Linked DNA regions of Arabidopsis thaliana. The protein of the gene in region 1 purifies or fractionates together with the protein of each later gene. This does not show direct contact. Each region holds a gene or a part of one and is shown in the gene's direction. Other genes may lie near its edges.

What was found. The genes of interacting proteins can lie anywhere in the genome.
Region 2: the proteins of AT5G64270 (region 1) and AT1G14640 fractionate together in Arabidopsis thaliana (co-fractionation; one large-scale study listed by BioGRID). This does not show direct contact.
Region 3: the proteins of AT5G64270 (region 1) and AT5G06890 fractionate together in Arabidopsis thaliana (co-fractionation; one large-scale study listed by BioGRID). This does not show direct contact.

What each region holds. Positions count from the first base shown.
Region 1 is NC_003076.8:25,702,751-25,713,795, forward strand, and holds AT5G64270 (splicing factor), read left to right. Parts: upstream 1-3,857; 5' UTR 3,858-3,993; intron 3,994-4,114; 5' UTR 4,115-4,158; coding exon 4,159-7,968; 3' UTR 7,969-8,579; downstream 8,580-11,045. Other genes in the region: EXL2 (EXORDIUM like 2), read left to right, coding at 1,230-2,147; DiT2.2 (dicarboxylate transporter 2.2), read right to left, coding at 8,580-8,695, 8,809-9,257, 9,446-9,759, 9,891-10,661.
Region 2 is NC_003070.9:5,019,742-5,026,455, forward strand, and holds AT1G14640 (SWAP (Suppressor-of-White-APricot)/surp domain-containing protein), read left to right. Parts: upstream 1-3,684; 5' UTR 3,685-3,819; intron 3,820-3,910; exon of another isoform or gene 3,911-3,911; 5' UTR 3,912-3,914; coding exon 3,915-5,975; intron 5,976-6,067; coding exon 6,068-6,214; downstream 6,215-6,714. Other genes in the region: AT1G14630 (XRI1-like protein), read left to right, coding at 254-332, 586-770, 879-930, 1,091-1,183, 1,433-1,704; AT1G14642 (uncharacterized protein), read left to right, coding at 6,623-6,664.
Region 3 is NC_003076.8:2,131,920-2,136,443, forward strand, and holds AT5G06890 (Ubiquitin-like superfamily protein), read left to right. Parts: upstream 1-3,823; coding exon 3,824-4,024; downstream 4,025-4,524. Other genes in the region: PGIP1 (polygalacturonase inhibiting protein 1), read left to right, coding at 454-994, 1,064-1,515; PGIP2 (polygalacturonase inhibiting protein 2), read left to right, coding at 2,022-2,562, 2,646-3,097; CYP93D1 (cytochrome P450, family 93, subfamily D, polypeptide 1), read right to left, coding at 4,241-4,524.

The sequences.
Region 1 (11,045 bases):
TTGATTATGGCACACACACGGTATCATCAACCTCTCTGTGTACCTTTCTTAAAATCAGTGGCGCCTCTATGGAAGGAAAGGAAGGAACCTTCCCTAAATAATCCCAAATCTCTTTAATTCATTTCTTAATATATAGAATTCTTTTTTTTGGTATCAGAACCGTATTATTAGAACGAGTAATGGACTTTTCTTCTATTATATGGTCAAACAATTACTGCTCAATGTATTTGCGTATAGAGCATGTCCAATACCATGCCTCATGATGTGAGATTGCGAGGCGGAGTCAGAGAACGAGTTAAAGTGACGACGTTTTTTTTGTTTTTTTTGGGCATAGTGTAAAGTGATATTAAAATTTCATGGTTGGCAGGTGACTGAAAATAAAAATGTGTATAGGATGTGTTTATATGCTAGACGGAAAAATAGTTACTCAACTAATACAGATCTTTATAAAGAGTATATAAGTCTATGGTTAATCATGAATGGCAATATATAAGAGTAGATGAGATTTATGTTTATATTGAAACAAGGGAAAGATATGTGTAATTGAAACAATGGCAAAATATATAGTCAAATCAAACTGGTTTCTGATAATATATGTGTTGAATCAATGTATATCTTGGTATTCAAAACCAAAACAACTACAACCAATTTCTTTAAAAAACCAGTTGATCTAATAACTACATTTTAATACTAGTAGCTATTAGCTGAATTTCATAATCAATTTCTTGCATTAAAATTTAAAGTGGGTTTTGCATTTAAACTTACTCGGTTTGTATTAATAGACTTTCAAAGATTAAAAGAAAACTACTGCATTCAGAGAATAAAGCTATCTTACTAAACACTACTTTTAAAGTTTCTTTTTTCACTTATTAATCTTCTTTTACAAATGGATCTGTCTCTCTGCATGGCAAAATATCTTACACTAATTTTATTTTCTTTGTTTGATAACAAATTTATCGGCTAAGCATCACTTAAATTTAATACACGTTATGAAGACTTAAACCACGTCACACTATAAGAACCTTACAGGCTGTCAAACACCCTTCCCTACCCACTCACATCTCTCCACGTGGCAATCTTTGATATTGACACCTTAGCCACTACAGCTGTCACACTCCTCTCTCGGTTTCAAAACAACATCTCTGGTATAAATACCTCTGTATATCTTTATAAACCCCAAATCAAAACCTCTCCTATATCTCTTCAATCTGATATAACTACCCTTCTCAATGGCTTCTAATTACCGTTTTGCCATCTTCCTCACTCTCTTTTTCGCCACCGCTGGTTTCTCCGCCGCCGCGTTGGTCGAGGAGCAGCCGCTTGTTATGAAATACCACAACGGAGTTCTGTTGAAAGGTAACATCACAGTCAATCTCGTATGGTACGGGAAATTCACACCGATCCAACGGTCCGTAATCGTCGATTTCATCCACTCGCTAAACTCCAAAGACGTTGCATCTTCCGCCGCAGTTCCTTCCGTTGCTTCGTGGTGGAAGACGACGGAGAAATACAAAGGTGGCTCTTCAACACTCGTCGTCGGGAAACAGCTTCTACTCGAGAACTATCCTCTCGGAAAATCTCTCAAAAATCCTTACCTCCGTGCTTTATCCACCAAACTTAACGGCGGTCTCCGTTCCATAACCGTCGTTCTAACGGCGAAAGATGTTACCGTCGAAAGATTCTGTATGAGCCGGTGCGGGACTCACGGATCCTCCGGTTCGAATCCCCGTCGCGCAGCTAACGGCGCGGCTTACGTATGGGTCGGGAACTCCGAGACGCAGTGCCCTGGATATTGCGCGTGGCCGTTTCACCAGCCGATTTACGGACCACAAACGCCGCCGTTAGTAGCGCCTAACGGTGACGTTGGAGTTGACGGAATGATTATAAACCTTGCCACACTTCTAGCTAACACCGTGACGAATCCGTTTAATAACGGATATTACCAAGGCCCACCAACTGCACCGCTTGAAGCTGTGTCTGCTTGTCCTGGTATATTCGGGTCAGGTTCTTATCCGGGTTACGCGGGTCGGGTACTTGTTGACAAAACAACCGGGTCTAGTTACAACGCTCGTGGACTCGCCGGTAGGAAATATCTATTGCCGGCGATGTGGGATCCGCAGAGTTCGACGTGCAAGACTCTGGTTTGATCCAAGGGATGTGAGTAAGACACGTGGCATAGTAGTGAGAGCGATGACGAGATCTAGACGGCATGTGTAGTCAAAATCAAGTTGCACGCGAGCGTGTGTATAAAAAAATCTTTCGGGTTTGGGTCTCGGGTTTGGATTGTGGATAGGGCTCTCTCTTTGCTTTTTGTCGTTTTGTAATGACGTGTAAAAACTGTACTCGGAAATGTGAAGAATGCATATAAAATAATAAAAAATCATTTTGTTTCTACTTTATCAAATTTAATAATGCATTCGGTTTTGCAGCAAGAATGATCAAAGCTTGTATTAGTACTAATTAATTTATTTAAAGGTATCTGACCTTTTTAAAAAATGTTAGTGGGTATAGAGGATAATAATGTTATTTGTTGTATTTAATTTTGTAATAAAATTGATAACTAAAGAAAGGAAGATGTGTTGGGGCCTAGGAGACCAAATTGATTGCTTTGTAAGTACTCGTTTCATATTATTAGTAACTTTTGAATTTTTTTATGCATGATAATATGTTATCTGTAACTACAAATCTATCCTTAACTGTTTTAATGGCGACTAAAGTTTGTTCTCTTTGAACTAAACAAATCTATCTTTATTTGTTAGGTAACAACAAATAACTAAACATTCAAATTTGGAAACTTCCGAATTCTTAAAGCAATCAAAATACCTCAAAATGGGGGTAATATTTATTATTGTCAGGTGAAAAAGTAATCTAGTGAATTTAATCACCGAAATTCCTACAAATTTTAGTAATTTAGGTATTAAGTATTTTCTGAAAATGGTCAGTGGGGTTGGTGAAGAAGTTCTTCTCCCTTGCCTCCGTTCTTTATGCCAAAGAAAACTTTGAAACATTTAAGTATCGAAAAGGCTCATCTAGATTCAATCAATCATTTATATGCCTTTTATTTTATTTATCAGTATGTAGCTTATATATACTGATTTTGATCATGACATAATTTATCATGCATTCTGTATAATAATAAACCTGATTAAGTTGTAGTGGATCCGGACTTTCGGCTATATGTGGAAATAAATAAGCTAGTGACGAATTGAGGATAATGCTAAATAAAATACACTTTGTTATATCTTTTAGGGTTACGACACATATATAATAGATTTTAAATAAAATTCGTGGCTGTGTGTATTAATGATTAGAAAATTATGTAAGCATACACTTTTTACAAGGATGTTTTGTGTAAATTTGAAATTTCCAAATTCTTATGGAATATATTAATTTATATCCAAATGAAAATTTATTTTGATCATAAATTTTAAAGTACCTGAAATAGTTCATGTTGTCTCTATGTATTTTGGAAAAAGTACAAGGTTATTCGTATATTTAAAAACTTAATAACCGAAAAATTGGCTCACCTATATGATTGAATTCAACATGAAAATTAACAAAGGCTTTTGTTTGCTTCGGGGGTGAAAGAAAGCCTTTCTAGTTAGTTTCTATTCAACTTCAATGTTGGCCAAAAGAAGGAGGTATGCAGCAATAGGTATATACGCCAGCTTATCTGCATAAAAGCTGTATACCTTATCTGTATTGGGCTTCTAATTATCTGATCAAATATGGCCACTAGAACAGACGTAGTGACCAAAATTATAATTGGGCTTATGGGCTTTGATTACTTGAACCCAATCTATAAAAGTTATTAGCCCAAATTAAAACTTGACCCGAAGTTTAAGAACCGACTCCCCCACAATTGGTCGGTTTCAATAACTCTCCAAATCCTAAAATAATTTTTTTTTCTGGCTTCATCTGGATAAACCCTAGTTCATCCTTTTCTCACGCTCTACCTCCCCACAATCATCCGCAGACGAGTTCCGATTACCGGTGAGTTATTCTCCAATCTTCGTTTCGATATACGATTCTATTCTCTCGTATTTGATTGATTCCGATTGTTTTCAATTTCGTTTTGTTTTCTTCTGATTCACTGCTTTGTTGATTTTCTCAGTTCTTTCTTTTTTTGCTGGAGAAAGCTTCGTTGAGTATCTGATAATGGCGGATCTAGATCCAGAGATCGCTAAAACTCAGGAGGAAAGACGGAAGATGGAAGCAGACCTTGCTTCTCTCACTTCTCTGACTTTCGATCGCGATCTATACGGAGGTAACGACCGTGCTTCCTACTCGACTTCTATTGCACCTAACGAGGAGGATGATGCGAATCTGGACACCACTGGTTCTCTTGTGGCTCAGCGCCTCGCGTCTTATACTGCTCCTAGGTCAATTCTTAACGACGTGGCTCGTCCTCACAACGAAGATGACGATGTGGGATTTAAACCTAGGCAGAGTATTGCCGAACGTGAGGGTGAATATAGGAATAGGAGACTCAATCGGGTTCTTTCTCCGGATAGAGTTGATGCCTTTGCTATGGGCGACAAAACGCCGGATGCGAGTGTTCGTACTTACACGGACCATATGAGGGAGACGGCTTTGCAGAGGGAGAAAGAGGAAACTATGAGACTCATTGCCAAGAAGAAGAAAGAGGAAGAAGAAGCTGCTGCGAAGCATCAGAAAGATTCTGCTCCTCCTCCTCCTGCTTCCTCTTCTTCTTCCTCTTCCAAGAGGAGACACAGGTGGGATCTCCCTGAAGAAGACGGTGCTGCTGCAAAGAAGGCTAAAGCAGCAAGTTCAGATTGGGATTTACCTGATGCAGCTCCAGGGATTGGACGATGGGATGCTCCTACTCCAGGGAGAGTTTCTGATGCCACACCATCTGCTGGACGAAGGAACAGGTGGGACGAAACTCCTACACCTGGTCGTGTGACTGATTCTGATGCAACACCTGGTGGTGGTGTTACTCCCGGTGCTACTCCTTCAGGTGTTACTTGGGACGGGCTTGCCACGCCTACCCCAAAGCGTCAACGTTCAAGGTGGGACGAAACACCAGCCACTATGGGGAGTGCTACACCTATGGGTGGAGTCACTCCTGGTGCAGCTTACACTCCTGGTGTTACCCCAATTGGTGGGATTGATATGGCTACTCCGACTCCGGGTCAGCTTATTTTCCGTGGTCCTATGACCCCCGAGCAGCTCAATATGCAAAGGTGGGAGAAGGATATCGAGGAAAGAAACAGACCATTGAGTGATGAAGAGCTTGATGCCATGTTTCCTAAAGATGGATACAAGGTTTTGGATCCGCCTGCTACGTATGTTCCCATCAGAACCCCTGCGAGGAAACTTCAACAAACCCCGACACCCATGGCAACTCCTGGCTATGTTATTCCTGAGGAAAACCGTGGGCAACAGTATGATGTGCCCCCAGAAGTTCCTGGTGGTTTGCCGTTTATGAAACCAGAGGATTATCAGTATTTTGGTTCTCTGTTAAATGAAGAGAACGAAGAAGAGCTGTCTCCTGAAGAGCAGAAAGAACGCAAGATAATGAAACTGTTGTTAAAGGTTAAAAATGGAACTCCTCCCCAGAGGAAAACAGCGCTGAGGCAGCTTACTGATAAGGCTCGTGAACTTGGTGCTGGTCCTTTGTTCAATAAAATTTTGCCATTGCTCATGCAACCCACTTTGGAAGATCAAGAGAGGCATCTTTTGGTCAAAGTGATTGATAGAATTCTGTACAAACTTGATGAGATGGTAAGGCCTTACGTCCACAAAATCCTTGTTGTTATTGAGCCTTTGCTGATTGATGAAGATTATTATGCTCGTGTAGAAGGGAGAGAGATTATTTCTAACCTTAGCAAAGCAGCTGGTTTGGCCTCTATGATTGCAGCTATGCGTCCTGATATTGACAACATCGATGAATATGTGAGGAACACAACAGCGAGAGCTTTCAGTGTGGTGGCTTCAGCTCTTGGAATCCCTGCACTCTTGCCTTTCCTGAAAGCTGTGTGCCAGAGTAAAAGGTCATGGCAGGCACGGCATACTGGAATCAAGATTGTTCAGCAGATTGCGATACTAATTGGTTGTGCTGTCCTGCCTCACTTAAGGTCTTTGGTAGAGATTATCGAACATGGTCTTAGTGATGAAAACCAGAAGGTTAGGACTATTACCGCATTGTCACTGGCTGCTCTTGCTGAAGCTGCTGCTCCATATGGTATTGAGAGCTTTGATTCTGTTCTGAAGCCTTTGTGGAAAGGTATTAGGTCGCACCGTGGTAAAGTTTTAGCTGCTTTCTTGAAGGCGATCGGTTTTATCATTCCCTTGATGGATGCTATATATGCGAGCTACTATACAAAAGAAGTCATGGTTATCTTGATTCGTGAGTTCCAGTCGCCTGATGAAGAGATGAAGAAGATCGTCCTCAAGGTGGTGAAACAGTGTGTAAGTACAGAGGGTGTTGAACCGGAATACATTCGTAGTGATATTCTGCCCGAGTTTTTCAGGAATTTCTGGACAAGGAAAATGGCTCTGGAGAGGAGAAACTATAAGCAGCTTGTTGAAACTACTGTGGAGGTTGCGAACAAGGTTGGTGTTGCAGATATTGTGGGAAGAGTTGTTGAAGATCTCAAGGACGAGAGTGAACAGTATCGACGTATGGTTATGGAAACCATTGATAAGGTTGTCACAAACTTAGGAGCATCTGATATTGATGCGAGGTTGGAGGAACTGCTCATAGATGGCATTCTTTATGCTTTTCAAGAACAGACTAGTGACGATGCTAATGTGATGCTTAATGGATTCGGTGCTGTAGTAAATGCTCTTGGTCAGCGAGTAAAGCCTTATCTTCCCCAGATCTGTGGTACCATCAAGTGGCGATTGAACAACAAGAGTGCAAAGGTAAGACAGCAAGCTGCTGATCTGATTTCTCGAATTGCAGTTGTTATGAAGCAATGCGGAGAGGAACAGTTGATGGGACATCTAGGTGTTGTTTTGTATGAATATCTTGGAGAAGAGTACCCAGAAGTCTTGGGATCGATTCTTGGGGCTTTAAAAGCTATAGTCAATGTGATTGGTATGACGAAGATGACTCCTCCTATTAAGGATCTTCTACCAAGGCTGACCCCGATTTTGAAGAATAGGCATGAGAAAGTGCAAGAGAATTGTATCGATCTTGTTGGTAGGATTGCTGATCGTGGTGCCGAGTTTGTTCCAGCAAGAGAATGGATGAGAATCTGTTTCGAGCTTCTTGAAATGCTTAAAGCTCATAAGAAAGGTATTCGTCGTGCTACTGTCAACACTTTTGGGTACATTGCCAAAGCCATTGGGCCACAAGACGTTCTAGCCACGTTGCTTAACAATCTCAAAGTCCAAGAACGTCAGAACCGTGTTTGCACCACAGTTGCAATCGCCATAGTCGCTGAAACATGCTCTCCCTTCACCGTCTTACCTGCTTTGATGAATGAGTACCGTGTTCCAGAGCTAAACGTCCAAAATGGTGTTCTGAAATCTCTCTCCTTCCTCTTCGAGTACATTGGAGAGATGGGCAAAGATTACATATACGCAGTTACACCGTTGCTTGAAGACGCTCTCATGGACAGGGATTTGGTTCATAGACAAACGGCTGCTTCAGCTGTGAAACATATGGCTCTAGGTGTAGCTGGGTTGGGATGCGAAGACGCCTTGGTTCACTTGCTTAACTTCATTTGGCCCAACATTTTTGAGACATCTCCTCACGTCATTAACGCAGTGATGGAAGCCATTGAAGGAATGCGAGTCGCATTAGGAGCAGCTGTAATTCTGAACTATTGCTTGCAGGGTTTGTTTCATCCGGCGCGCAAGGTCCGCGAAGTGTACTGGAAGATATACAATTCTTTATACATTGGTGCTCAGGACACCCTTGTTGCTGCTTACCCGGTTCTTGAAGACGAGCAGAACAATGTGTATAGCCGACCGGAGTTGACGATGTTTGTGTGAAAGAAAGATTCTGGATTCGATGTGATTCTATTACTCTCTAGTCACCTGTAGTTGTTGGTATTTTGGCTTTATTGCAAAGGTTTGCTTTGTATAAAACACAGAAACGTTTCTTTTCTTTTTCTGATAACTAGAAAACCTATGTTCACTTTTGGTTATTTCTTATTGACTTAAGTTTCATGTTATTTGTATGCATTACAGTTGCAGGTTCATGAAATAACGTAGAAATCTGTCAAGACTCCAAATAAGCAGAGCTGTTTAGATCTTTCATATTGCGAGACTGAGTGAACATATATTACTGTGGAAATTGGTTGTGTCAGTTTGTTCATAAATTTGGTTTACTCGTTGAAATCTTACTGAATTTGGACCGAATTTATGGTGGTTGATTTTGGTTCAGGTTTAACTGAGAATTCGCTGCCGAAGGAAAACAGGATACATACATACAATGTTCTAACTTCTACGGTTTACATCTTTAATATACGAACACAAGAAAACCAATTGGTATTTGGCTGTGTGAACCTGAATCAGATACCCTCAAAACCGAAATTATGGTTGTGTTTGGACTGGTTTGGGTTCCGGTCAAACGCTCAGGGAATGGTTTCGGTTCTATATGTTCAGTAGAGACCCAAAAATTTCCACCAGAAAGATCCAACACCTCCCCAGATGATCGCTTGTACAAGAGCCATCACGAACCCGACTCTAAACATATCTCTCAGATCTACATACCCAGCTGCAGATCCAGACCAATATTTTTTTTTGTAAGAAAGTGTTGAATGGTCGATTAATTCGATAACTAAGGATATGAGAAATATGATAAAAACTTCGAAAGAGAAGAAACCGGACCTCCGTAATATAAAGCAGCCGGTCCACCACTATAATGTGCCAAAGCACCAGAGAGATTGTTGTTGAAAGCCAAGCAAAGCGCTGCTAGAACCCCAGGCACGCCAGCAGCGATTTGCATCGCCAAGAAAGGCGGATAGAGAGCTCCCGCGTGACCGGTTTGGCTTGCAAATAGATAATGTATCAAGAGATAACAAGCCTGGAGAATAATGAATGACGCGGGCCAAGTCAGGGAGAGAGATTGTAGCAGTTTGGCCACACAATCCGACATCCAAGCAACGACACCGAGGTTTGTTAGCTGTCCAGCCATACCAATCAAAACCGCAAACCAAGTGAGAGAGTCCCAAGCTGATTTGTCACTGAGACAATCGTCCCAGTTTATGACTCCCAACAGCAGAAGTGTTGATAGACCTATCATCGCGGACACAACACTTGCTATTCCTATTGCCTCTCTGCAAGGAGATACGAAAAATAAAGTTCATAATATGGTTAACGTTGATTTTGAAAACTTTTTTAGTGAGTTTTATGTAGTTATAGACTTATGTATCAATACGTCTAGTTTTAGACACTAAATAGTTTTATGCGATTTCTCTTGTATGATACTAATGATGCTTTGTTCAAATTCTGCAAGAAACCGTACCCGAAAACCCAAAGAGAGACGGTGAAAGCCATAGCGCCGAGCATGATCCATTCGTTTTTCGTGATGGGACCTAATCGTTCGAGCTTCTTAGCAGCTGCAGCCGGAGCTTCTGGTGTGTGTTTCAACTCAGGAGGGTAAAGCTTGTAGATAATGAGAGGAGTACAAAGAAGAGACACAAACGCAGGAACACTAGCGACTTTAAACCAAGTGATCCATGGATTCGAGATTACAACACCAACTTCTCTTGCTAGTTTGAGACATAGCAAGTTTTGTGCAGCTGATGTGAGTAGAATCGCACCAGAAGCTCCTGAACACTGTCACAGACAAAACATAAACCCTTCAAGATACAATTTCTCATTCCAAACATTTAATGCTTAATGAACATAGTTGATGTTATTTCCAAAGACCAAGCTATAGTTACTGATTAGAGTCTTTGAGTTATTACCTGCAATTGAGTTTGAATGAGAAAAGAACCCAATTTTCTGGAAGATGGGTCTCCGGGATAACTTCCGGCGGAGATCGCCAAAGATTTAATCACCGGCAAGAAAACGCCACCGGCTCTAGCCATGGTAGACGGCATAATCAAACCCATAAGCGTTTCACAGAACGCAAGACCATAAGAGAGACCAAGAGTGCTTTTCCCCAGCCACTTGACGAAATAAGTAGCGATTCTGTCGCCAAGACCAGTTTTGATGAATCCACGAGCGAAGAAGAAAGAAATAGCGATTAACCAAATGAGCTCATTGGTAAAAGCGGCGAAAGCGGTTGAGAAAGGAAGCGTTTTGGTGACGATTGAAGCGGTTAAGCCAATGAAAGCCCAAGCGCCTACAGGGAGAGGACCAAGGACGAGACCTGAGATGGTGAAGAGGAAGATTGAGAGTAATTGCCATCCTTGTGAGGTTACTTGTTCTGGTCTTGGGATTAAGAATCTGACTATGAGGCCGATTGAGACGGAGATCGCGAGAGGAATTAGCTTCGCTCCTTGCGGCTGCGGCGGAGAAGGAGGGGGAGGTTGAGGTTTGTTTTGTTCCTCCGGCAAGGAAGAGGCGGTGGCGCGTAGAGTGAATCGAGGGGAAGAGATGGAGAGTGATCGGAGTGTTGGGGATGTGTGTACGGAAATCGACGGTGGAAGTAACGCAAATGATTTGGAGGAAGATCGATGGAGAGATAGATAGGAGGCTGAGAGTGAGATTGAACGGAGAGCCAAACTCTCCATCCCGGGAGAGAGAGTGTGTGTTCTCCGATATCAAAGTGTTACTTTCTCACCGGAGGAGCGAAACTCTCTGTTTGTTGTCTTTATAAAAAAAAGTTAAATAAAAACGTTATTCTTATTTTCCCCATTATTCATATTTTACTAATTAAAAGATAATTTAGCTAAAACTTTAAAATTAAGAAGTATTCAAAATTTTCACATTTGGATTAACTTGTTTGTATTTTGTATGACCATAAAACGAAATTACCAAATTACAGTATGTGTTATCTTTTCGAAAATTCAGAATTATTTACTGAATCAAGTAAAAACTCATGATCGTTTGTTTACTATAAATACTCTCTCTTGATTTTCATGATTGTTTGAAGACTTGTTTAGTTTCTGAGATCA
Region 2 (6,714 bases), on another chromosome or scaffold:
AGACTGTCCAACCATTAGTGTAATTATCTTTTCTTTATAGTTGACTGTATTGAGTACTGATTTTTCTCCTTCCAAATTTCTTCTCTGCTTTAACTTGTTTTCCCCTTTTTCTTTTCCATTTTCATGCTTTATTTGGATTAATTTCAATTTATTTTAACTTTTTACTCACAACCCACCAAGATATATAGGCAGCCACATGGTCTCACCTTAATTCAACACATTCACAGTCAATCCACAAATCATTAAAAAAAATATGAGTGAGCTTTCATACTCTCTCCCCTCTTGGGATCTCCATAACCTTGGATCACTCTTCAACCAAAACTTCAATCTAGGTATAGACAACAACGATTTTATATTACAGTTCTTTTATGTATATTTATAGAATGATTTATGTTAAGTTTGCTGGTGGATTCGTGCAAACAAAGAAAAAGTATATTTTCGTTGTAAGATGAATGTATTTAATTTGTGCTAGTAATTCAAGAAAATTTCATTAAAGATATATATATATATATATATATATATATACTTTTTTTTTTCTATACACACACATAATGTGAGGAATTTGGCCATGCAATGTACTTGTAGATGCATGGGGGCTCATTGATGAATCGCCGGAGAATATATTCTGTTCACCGGAGATGGAAATCGGGGACGTTTCCACCGGATACCTTGAAGACGCACTCATTGAATTCAGTGGGAGAAGCAAACGGAGACGTCTCTCGTTCAACGGCGCCGAGGACAAACCAGATAACGATTTAGACCATTCTCAGGTTTATATAATTACTACTCTGTTTTTTGGTTTGTCATTTACGTAATTATTCCGTATTTTTCATTTGTTATGAAACTGATTTAGTTGATCGCGGAATATAATAATGCAGAATCATTGGGGTCTGTCTGAGAATTATAGTTGCACGAGTAGTCAGTTTGCAGGTGAGACCTACTTCTTTATTATTATCACCCATATTTTTTTGAGGCATATTTATTATTTAATACTATTAACATATAAATGATCAATACATTAGTGCTGTTTTAATATAAATAGTAAGTTAATTGAATAATCTTTGTGAATAATTTTCTTATATTTAAACAGACGAATCTCCAAATTCTTCCATCAATATATGTTCTGAAGAAAAATCCTCAATTTCGTCGAGAAACTCTTTCGAACCATCCTCGTCCACGTCAAGTAAGCATATTGTATTTTCTTCCGAAGTAGTGAATTATATGGGACTTTTTCGTTTTTGTTTATGCGTAATTGTCCACAGTAGCTATAATTAAACAAATCAATCATGAAATTTCACTTTTATTCATTTGCGTTTTGCGTTTATAAAATATTTAATATTAATAAAATTATGTGTTTCTAATCACATGCAAAGCATTTTAAACACAAAGTCCGATCCCGAATAAACACTGACGTAACACTTGTGCATTACAGAAAAGAATGACTATGACGAGAAGAAGAGGGTGGTGTATCCATTTGGAGTGGTAAAACCAGGTGGTCGAGAAGAAGATATAACTCTAAATGACATTAATAAGAGGATTTTAATGCCATCGGCTAGGCCGGTTCGACATCCGGTTGGAGACTTTGCATGTCGTCCGTGTGTCTCTGCAGATGGACCGGGTCTATCAGGCAAAGCCGTGGTTGCATTCACGAAGATACAAACATTAGGGAGGGGCACAATTACTATTATAAGAACTAAGGGATGATATATCATATATGTAATTAATATTGGCTATTAGAGGGGGGTCGTTATAATATGTACTGGAGATGTTTCAAAAAGACTAATCATTGGTTGACATGTTCAAACCTATTGTTGTATATAATGAGAAATGGTGTATATTAGTATACATGCTTTTCCATTTTCTTAGAAATCTTCCTTCTAATTATTTAGAAACCTCTTAAAAAAGAATCAAGATAATAGATATCTTAGAAACTTACTAAACAAATTTTCTTAAGAAATCAAGATTTTGTATGTATTGACAAAAAAAAAAAGTTCTCTTCTTTTTTTCGTTTGATATATTATGTTTTTTGCATGTTCGTGCTTTTTGTTCTTTACCCTTTTTCCCCTAGCCAACCCTTTTGTTCTTTAGTAAAAGAAAAATTCAGTAGACACCAAATAAATAAACGAAGCGTGAAGAAGAATAAATAACAAAGAAATTAAAGCAAAAGAGAAGAATATGCTGAAAAGCAAGAACAAACAAAAGAGAAAGAGAGAGTATTTATAAGTACCTTATCAGGAAATTCTCAAAGATGGTTATATGATTTTAGGCAACAAGCTTTCTTATCTATATGTTCGAAATACTTAAATGATTATTAATTATTACCATATAGTCAATATTCTTAATGTATCATATCGAAAAATCTAAAGTGGATTTTACTTTTAAAATTTGAATTGAAAGAATAAACAAGTCTATAATTAGTAATTTTAAAATTACCAAGCTTCTACTACAATTTTTGAATTATAACAAGTACAATGAATCATTTTGTTTCAGCAAATTTAAATTTCGAATTAGAACAAGTATTGTCTCCAAATTTTATTTTATACTAAACCACCAATGTATAATTAGTTTAAATTAAATGAAACTAAAATATAATATAATACCTATTTTGTAAGATCAATGTCATTATGGGCCCGATGGTAAGCCCAGGTCGATTTGCACACAGTCAAATACATGACGTCATATAACATATATGACGTTTGTCAGCATTTTCTGGTCCGGGACAAAAGATCAGCAATCACTCGTACTGTAGTCAGTACTAGTAATGTAATGCTCAAGTGTTTAGCATGTGGGAAAAATAAAACACATTTTCAGGTGGTTAGTGACGTGGATTGGTTAATAATTAACAATCGCTAGTGCTCTCTTTTTTAAAGATTTCTTGAAATTAAATGGAACACCTTTTTTGTCAATCAAATGGAACACCTAACTACTAATTTACCGGTCCTTTCCATTATTTTTCATCTCCAAACGACCAAGATCAACGTAGCTTTTGACCTTAGTGGGTTGGGTCCATGTTGGTAGACCATGGTTAAAAACTTAAAATTAAGTAATTAACAAAGCTGAATAAACAACAATATTTTGAATTTTTTTCTTTCCTCATTTTTTAAAATATTGTTTTTGGGGGTGAGAATAGAGTGTTTTTTTCTTTAATTAAATAGATGAAATACAAAATCAAACATGTAAAACTCCATAATATTATGTAACTTTGACTTGTAAATAACATCCAAATTTGATAAAACCTAATTTAAAATCAAGTATTTATCAAATTTCAGTTCAAGATAAAATATTGAATTAACACCAGATTTAAGCCAACAATTCAAAATTTTAACCTAAAAACTTACATAATCTTTTTTTTTCCAAATAAATTTAGATTAAATATAGTATGAATTTAGGATTTTTAAAAAAATATTATGCTATTATAATAAAATATATCTTTCTAATTTATATTCATGCATTTGATTCCTTATCTGTATCAACCATATACAATCAAATATAAGTCTCTGTTGTTAACAGAAAAAAGAAAAAGAAATGATTTTTTTATAAATTAATATAATGATGCAGATCGTTGACGAATCGAAAATAGTCGGTTTAGGCGTCTAGCAACTTATATGGAACAACTTTTTAAGCCCAAGTGAAAAAGCCCAATAACAAACTTGAATACAGAGTATATATATATTCTAGGGTGCGGTTTCTTCCCTCGAAGATCGATTTCCATTGAATCCGTCTTGTACGCTTTTAGATCACGATTTGCTCCGTCCCTCTCTTCTTCTCCACGTCACGGCGATTCTCGCGGCGGTGCTATTCCTTATCGGTTGAGATACGGTATGTTTCTTAGGTCAATTATGCTCAATTTTGATTTTCCCAATGTCATCAGAATCTGATGCTAATGTGTTTTTTTTTTTTGCTCGCTGCAGAAAATGTTCAATTCGATGAAGATACTACCACTGGAGGCTCCTCCTGCTGACGGGAATTTAGGTCCACTTCCTCCGTCGCAATTAACGGATGAAGAAATCAAAGAGAATGAGTTTCAAGGAGAGCAAAACAATTCAATTCAAACTCCCATAGCTGTGGCTACTCATACGAATCCAATCGGAATCATTTATCCACCTCCAGAGATCCGAAAAATCGTCGAGACAACGGCTCAATTTGTTTCGCAAAACGGTTTGGCGTTTGGAAACAAAGTTAAAACAGAGAAAGCCAATAATGCTAATTTCAGCTTTTTGAAAAGTGATAATCCTTATCATGGCTTTTACCGGTACAAGGTCACTGAGTATAGTTGTCATATTCGTGACGGAGCTCAAGGTACTGATGTAGATGATACAGAAGATCCCAAACTTGATGATGAGTCTGATGCAAAACCTGACCTTCAGGCTCAATTTAGGGCTCCTCGTAAGATTTTAGAAGCACCTGAACCTGAGAAGTATACTGTTAGACTTCCTGAAGGGATCATGGAGGCTGAGCTTGATATTATTAAGCACACGGCGCAGTTTGTGGCGCGGAATGGTCAATCGTTTTTAAGGGAATTGATGCGTAGAGAGGTGAATAATTCTCAGTTTCAGTTTATGAAGCCAACACATAGTATGTTCACTTTTTTCACTTCTTTGGTTGATGCGTATTCTGAAGTATTGATGCCTCCCAGAGATTTGAAAGAAAAGCTGAGAAAGAGTGTTGCTGATTTGACGACTGTTCTCGAGCGTTGTTTGAATCGGCTTGAGTGGGATCGTTTCCAGGAGGAGGAGAAGAACAAAGAAGAGGATGAGAAAGAGAAGGAGAGAGTGCAGATGGTTATGATTGATTGGAAAGATTTTGCAGTTGTTGAGTCTATAGATTTTGCAGACGAGGAGGATAAAGATTTGCCAATGCCTATGACACTTGAGGAGGTTATTAGGAGGAGCAAAGTTTCAGCCATGGAAGAAGATGAAATTGTTGAGCCTGGAAAGGAAGTTGAGATGGATATGGATGAAGAAGAAGTTAAGCTTGTTGCAGAAGGAATGAGAGCAGCGAACCTGGAAGAGTATGTTGGCTCTGTGGAGATTGAAGAAGAAGCACCAATGAGAATTGTTAAGAACTGGAAGAGGCCTGAAGATAGGTTTCTGACAGAGAGAGATTCGAGTAAAGTTGTTATATCACGGATTACTGGTGAGCTGATTCCCATTACCGAGATGTCTGAGCACATGAGGATTTCTCTTATTGATCCTAAGTTTAAAGAACAGAAGGATCGGATGTTTGCTAAGATTCGTGAGACAACTCTCGCACAAGATGATGAGATTGCTAAAAACATTGTCGGGTTGGCCCGCCTCCGTCCTGATATCTTTGGAACAACAGAAGAAGAAGTTTCAAATGCTGTAAAAGCAGATATTGAGAAAAAAGATGAGCAACCGAAACAAGTAATATGGGATGGTCACACTGGAAGTATTGGTCGCACAGCAAACCAAGCCTTGACTCAGAACTCCAATGGAGAGCAAGGCGATGGCGTTTATGGTGATCCCAATAGCTTCCCTGGTCCAGCTGCTTTTCCTCCTCCTCGACCAGGTGTCCCAACTGTCCGGCCACTGCCACCACCTCAAAATCTCGCCTTGAACCTTCCTCGTCCTCCTCCTTCTGTTCAGTACCCTGGTGCACCAAGGCCATTAGGTGTTCCAATGATGCAGCCCATGTATCAACAACACCAGCTCTCTATGTCTGGGCCACATGGACATCCTTCAATGATGATGAGTCGACCACCACAAATGCAACCTGTTATGCGTGTGCCGCCTCCACCGGGATCTCAGTTTTCTCATATGCAAGTTCCTCAACCTTATGGTCAGCTTCCACCGCTTTCGATGGGGATGATGCAACCACCACCTATGGCTGAGATGCCTCCTCCTCCACCACCCGGGGAGGCACCACCGCCTCTTCCTGAGGAGCCAGAGCCAAAAAGACAGAAGCTCGATGAGTCAGCCCTTGTTCCAGAAGACCAGTTTCTTGCTCAGCATCCGGTAATATTTTCTTCGACTCTTGATTCATTTTCTTATCTTTTATCTTTCTTCTTTCGTTTGAGTTGTATCTTACCTGTTTTACACATTTTCAGGGTCCGGCTACAATCAGGGTTTCTAAGCCAAACGAGAATGATGGACAAGTCATGGAGATCACAGTGCAGTCGTTATCCGAAAACGTGGGAAGTTTGAAGGAGAAAATAGCTGGGGAAATGCAAATTCCAGCAAACAAACAGAAGTAAGTGGAAAATCTGGATTCTTAAAGGACAACATGTCGCTTGCTCATTACAATGTGGGAGCAGGAGAAATCCTTACACTGTCTTTGAGAGAACGTGGTGGGAGAAAGAGATAGAGACAACTGGTGGATTCAGGGAAATGCCTTTTAATCTCTTAATTCAAATTAGGTGTTCCTTAATAGATGTTTTTTATTGGTGGCCAAAGCTATATGTACTGCCTGCTCTTTATTCTAGCTCATTATATCTCTACTGTTACTGACTTAGGTTTGTTTTGGATTTGCAGCTAGTTTTGGGGCAACGCTTTGCTCTGTAATCTTAAAATAACATATTGGATACTTTGGTTTATGCGTTCTTACTACTGTTAAGCATTTTTAGTGAAGCTTTGTTTCTCTTCTTTGTAGGTACCATACGAGGATGCTGCCTTGCTTGTTTTCTGCGGGATCATCATTGTCGAAGGTACACACGCAATTAGAATAGCTAAGATGTTAGTTGAAACATTGAGAACC
Region 3 (4,524 bases), about 24 Mb from region 1:
AATAGAGCCGTTTGTGATAAATCTCTTCCAACGGTCGGATCGATTTGAAGATGACCATAAACTTTGTTCGATATTTTCTTATAAATATGAACCAAAATCTAAACTTTCTCTCAAATCTTATGTTTGTTGGATAGATCAATTGGGTTACTTAAATTTGGATGAACTTTTGAGAAGTTGTATTAGATGGTGAAGACATTGCCTCAGTATACATTTCCAAATGCTTCAAGGAGATATAACTTGCACCGGTTATAGCCTAATTATATACAACGCGTAATTGCATTACCCAAACATATTCAACGCCGACATCTTGACTATATGATATGTATTGACTATTATTACGGTCCATGTGGAAACAGAGATCAAATCGAATCCGTCTCTCTAAGTCTATATCACTCACTATATAGTATGTATATGTATCACTAACACTTTCCATCAAAATTCAAAACCAACACCATGGATAAGACAGCGACATTGTGTCTCTTGTTCTTGTTCACATTCCTCACGACCTGTTTGTCTAAAGATCTCTGTAACCAAAATGACAAAAACACCCTCCTCAAGATCAAGAAATCTCTAAACAACCCTTATCACCTCGCTTCATGGGACCCTCAAACCGACTGTTGCTCCTGGTACTGCCTTGAGTGCGGCGACGCCACCGTTAACCACCGTGTTACCGCCTTAACCATATTCTCCGGCCAGATCTCCGGTCAGATCCCGGCTGAAGTCGGTGACTTGCCGTATCTTGAGACCCTTGTCTTCCGCAAACTCTCTAACCTCACCGGTACAATCCAACCCACCATCGCCAAACTCAAGAACCTCCGAATGCTCAGGCTCAGCTGGACGAATCTGACAGGTCCAATTCCTGACTTTATAAGTCAGCTCAAGAATCTCGAGTTCTTAGAACTTTCCTTCAATGATCTCTCTGGTTCCATTCCAAGTTCTCTCTCTACGTTACCTAAAATCTTGGCTCTTGAACTTAGCAGGAACAAACTTACAGGTAAAGAACGATCTTTTCCTTTATTACATCATTCAGTGTCTTGTCTAAACAACGATCTTTATGTTGTAGGTTCCATACCAGAGTCATTTGGGTCGTTTCCAGGAACAGTCCCTGACCTTCGCCTATCACATAACCAGCTCTCCGGTCCAATACCCAAATCATTAGGCAACATCGACTTTAACCGGATCGATTTATCCCGCAACAAGCTCCAAGGTGATGCTTCGATGTTGTTTGGTTCCAACAAAACAACCTGGTCTATTGACTTATCAAGAAACATGTTCCAGTTCGATATCTCAAAGGTTGATATCCCTAAAACACTTGGTATCTTGGACTTGAACCACAATGGGATCACTGGGAATATTCCGGTGCAGTGGACTGAAGCTCCTCTTCAGTTCTTCAATGTTAGCTACAACAAACTGTGTGGACACATCCCAACTGGAGGGAAACTTCAGACATTTGATTCTTATTCCTATTTTCACAACAAGTGTTTGTGTGGTGCTCCTCTTGAAATTTGCAAGTAAACCAAGCTTATCTCTAGGATTACGAAAAAATATATTTGAGTCAATAATATAGACAAATATGTAATGTTATTCGGATTGATTAATAAAACATGAACCAAACCTCTCATTTGATGTATTCATAGCACATTTTCAAAATGTTTTATTTGATGGATTAATCCTACCTTAATGGAAAAACAGGGGAAATATGGATAACGGAATCTCTGAGTGGTTTGGTATGGTTTCTCGATTCGATTTGGGTTTATATCCAAACTTGAAAAGTAAAACCAGATTGGTTTAAACAAAAAAAAAAAGAAGAGAAAAACCCTGATTTCCTTATTCTTCCAAATTCCCAAATTTCTCAAATCGTCACAAATATAAATTCCAAAATTTCTGCACCGAAACTTGTTTAAAACGTGGTCTAGTCAGCAAAATCATTACTACATCTGTATCGCACCATGCATTCATAGCCTATATGTATATCAATCATAGTTTCCATAAAAACTCAAAACACAAACACCAAAAACACTATGGATAAGACAATGACACTGTTCTTGCTCTTGTCCACTCTCCTCCTCACGACTTCTTTAGCTAAAGATCTCTGTCATAAAGATGACAAAACTACCCTCCTCAAGATCAAGAAATCCCTAAACAACCCTTACCACCTCGCCTCATGGGATCCCAAAACCGACTGTTGCTCTTGGTACTGCCTCGAGTGCGGCGACGCTACTGTCAACCACCGTGTCACTTCCCTAATCATACAAGACGGCGAGATCTCCGGTCAGATCCCCCCTGAAGTCGGTGACTTACCGTATCTTACATCCCTTATCTTCCGCAAACTCACTAACCTCACTGGTCACATCCAACCCACTATCGCCAAGCTCAAGAACCTCACTTTTCTCAGACTAAGCTGGACCAATCTCACCGGTCCGGTTCCTGAGTTTCTGAGTCAGCTCAAGAATCTTGAGTACATTGACCTTTCCTTCAATGACCTCTCTGGTTCCATACCTAGTTCCCTCTCTTCATTACGTAAACTCGAGTATCTTGAACTTAGTAGGAACAAGCTTACAGGTGAATAACTCTGTTTTTTTTTGTCTCTATTAGTCATATCCATTAATCTCATGGACTAAACTAAAGTTTAAACTTCCATATAGGTCCGATACCAGAGTCATTTGGGACGTTTTCAGGAAAGGTCCCTAGTCTTTTCCTATCACACAACCAGCTCTCTGGTACTATACCAAAGTCACTAGGCAATCCCGACTTTTACCGCATCGATTTATCTCGGAACAAGCTTCAAGGCGATGCTTCAATCTTGTTTGGAGCTAAAAAAACAACATGGATCGTTGATATATCAAGAAACATGTTCCAGTTCGATCTCTCCAAGGTTAAGCTCGCTAAGACACTTAATAACTTGGACATGAATCACAATGGCATCACAGGGAGTATTCCGGCTGAGTGGAGCAAAGCTTATTTTCAGTTACTGAATGTTAGCTATAACAGACTGTGTGGACGCATCCCCAAAGGAGAGTATATTCAAAGATTTGATTCTTATTCCTTTTTCCACAACAAGTGTTTATGTGGTGCACCTCTTCCTAGTTGCAAGTGAAGATTCCAGCAAAACCAAGCATTATCTCTGATATACCAAATAATTAATCAAGTCTAGTGACAATTGTGTTTTTATTTTGAATGATTAATAAAAGCATGAACCAATGTTTTAGCTTGATTTCATTGATTAACGGAAAAAGTTGAACAAAAAAAGTCTACAGAAAACTCATTCCAATCAAATTAAGTGGGTCTAAAAAATTAGTATGAATCGAAATTATAAGCCCAACTAATAAGGCCCATTGGAAAACCGTTTCCTTGATTTCCAAGCTTTAGATCTAAGAAGCCGTTTCTTCTCAACGTCAGGGCGGTTCTCGCGGCGGGACTGAAGTACGATTGTTCTTATCTCTCTCCGGGATCTTCAGTAGTCATTTGCTTTGCCGATTCCTTTTTCCATGGGAATATTCATTCGAATCTAATTTGAATGTTTTTCGTTTTGTAAGGAAAAAAAATGATGCAGAATGATTTGAAATCGGGGCAGAACAATTCAGAAAGCGCTCAGGATATCACCAATATTTCATGGATACCTTTCAATTCTTAAGAATCCACCACCACACATGGAGCATCTAACTGAGGAAACAGAGCCAACAAAACAAAAGTTAGGTCTTGTTCCAGAAGACCAGTTTCTTGCTCAAAATCCGGTAATGTTTTCTCCTGACTCTTACCTTCTGTTTTTTTTTTTGGTTGTATCTAATTAGCGGTCATACATTTGCACGGTTCCTCTACGATCATGGTTTCTGTTCCAGACGTCAATGATGGGCAAGTCATTGAGATCACAGTGCAGTCCTTATCCGAAAACGTGGCAAGTTTGAAAGAGAAAGTAGCAAACAAACTGAAGTTAAGGGGAAAAGCCGGGATTTTAAAGGACGATGACAAGTCACTTGCACATTACAATGTTCGAGCAGGTGACATCCTAACACTGTCTTGGTAAAAACGGATGCAGGTAAATGCTATTCAATCTCTCAACTCATGTTAAATAGAGAGATGTTTTAAAACTATATACATATATGTAACTGACTTAAGTTTGTTTCAACTACTTAGTTTATTTTATGTATAAAACAGAATTGCCGTAAACGAAGTATAAGTAAAAGTACACAAGTGTAAAGTTTTCTTGCTCTTTGTTCATTTTCTTCTTCGAAATCATTAGCTAGAAGTTGACATTTGGTTCTAGTAGAGAAAATGATTGTGTAGCCTCTTTAGCAACAGGAACACACACTAAAGGTGTAGCTCTAGGCAAAGATGATCCAGTCCCTTCATCCATATCCACACTTCCCTTCACTTTCAGCTCAAAACACTGTATTATTGCAGCTAAAATTATTGGAACGAATCTAAACACCATTTTCTCTCCAGGACAACTTCTTCTCCCAGCTCCAAAAGACATCATCTTCTCACTCATGACCTTCCATTCACTCCCTTCAAATCTCTCAGGCC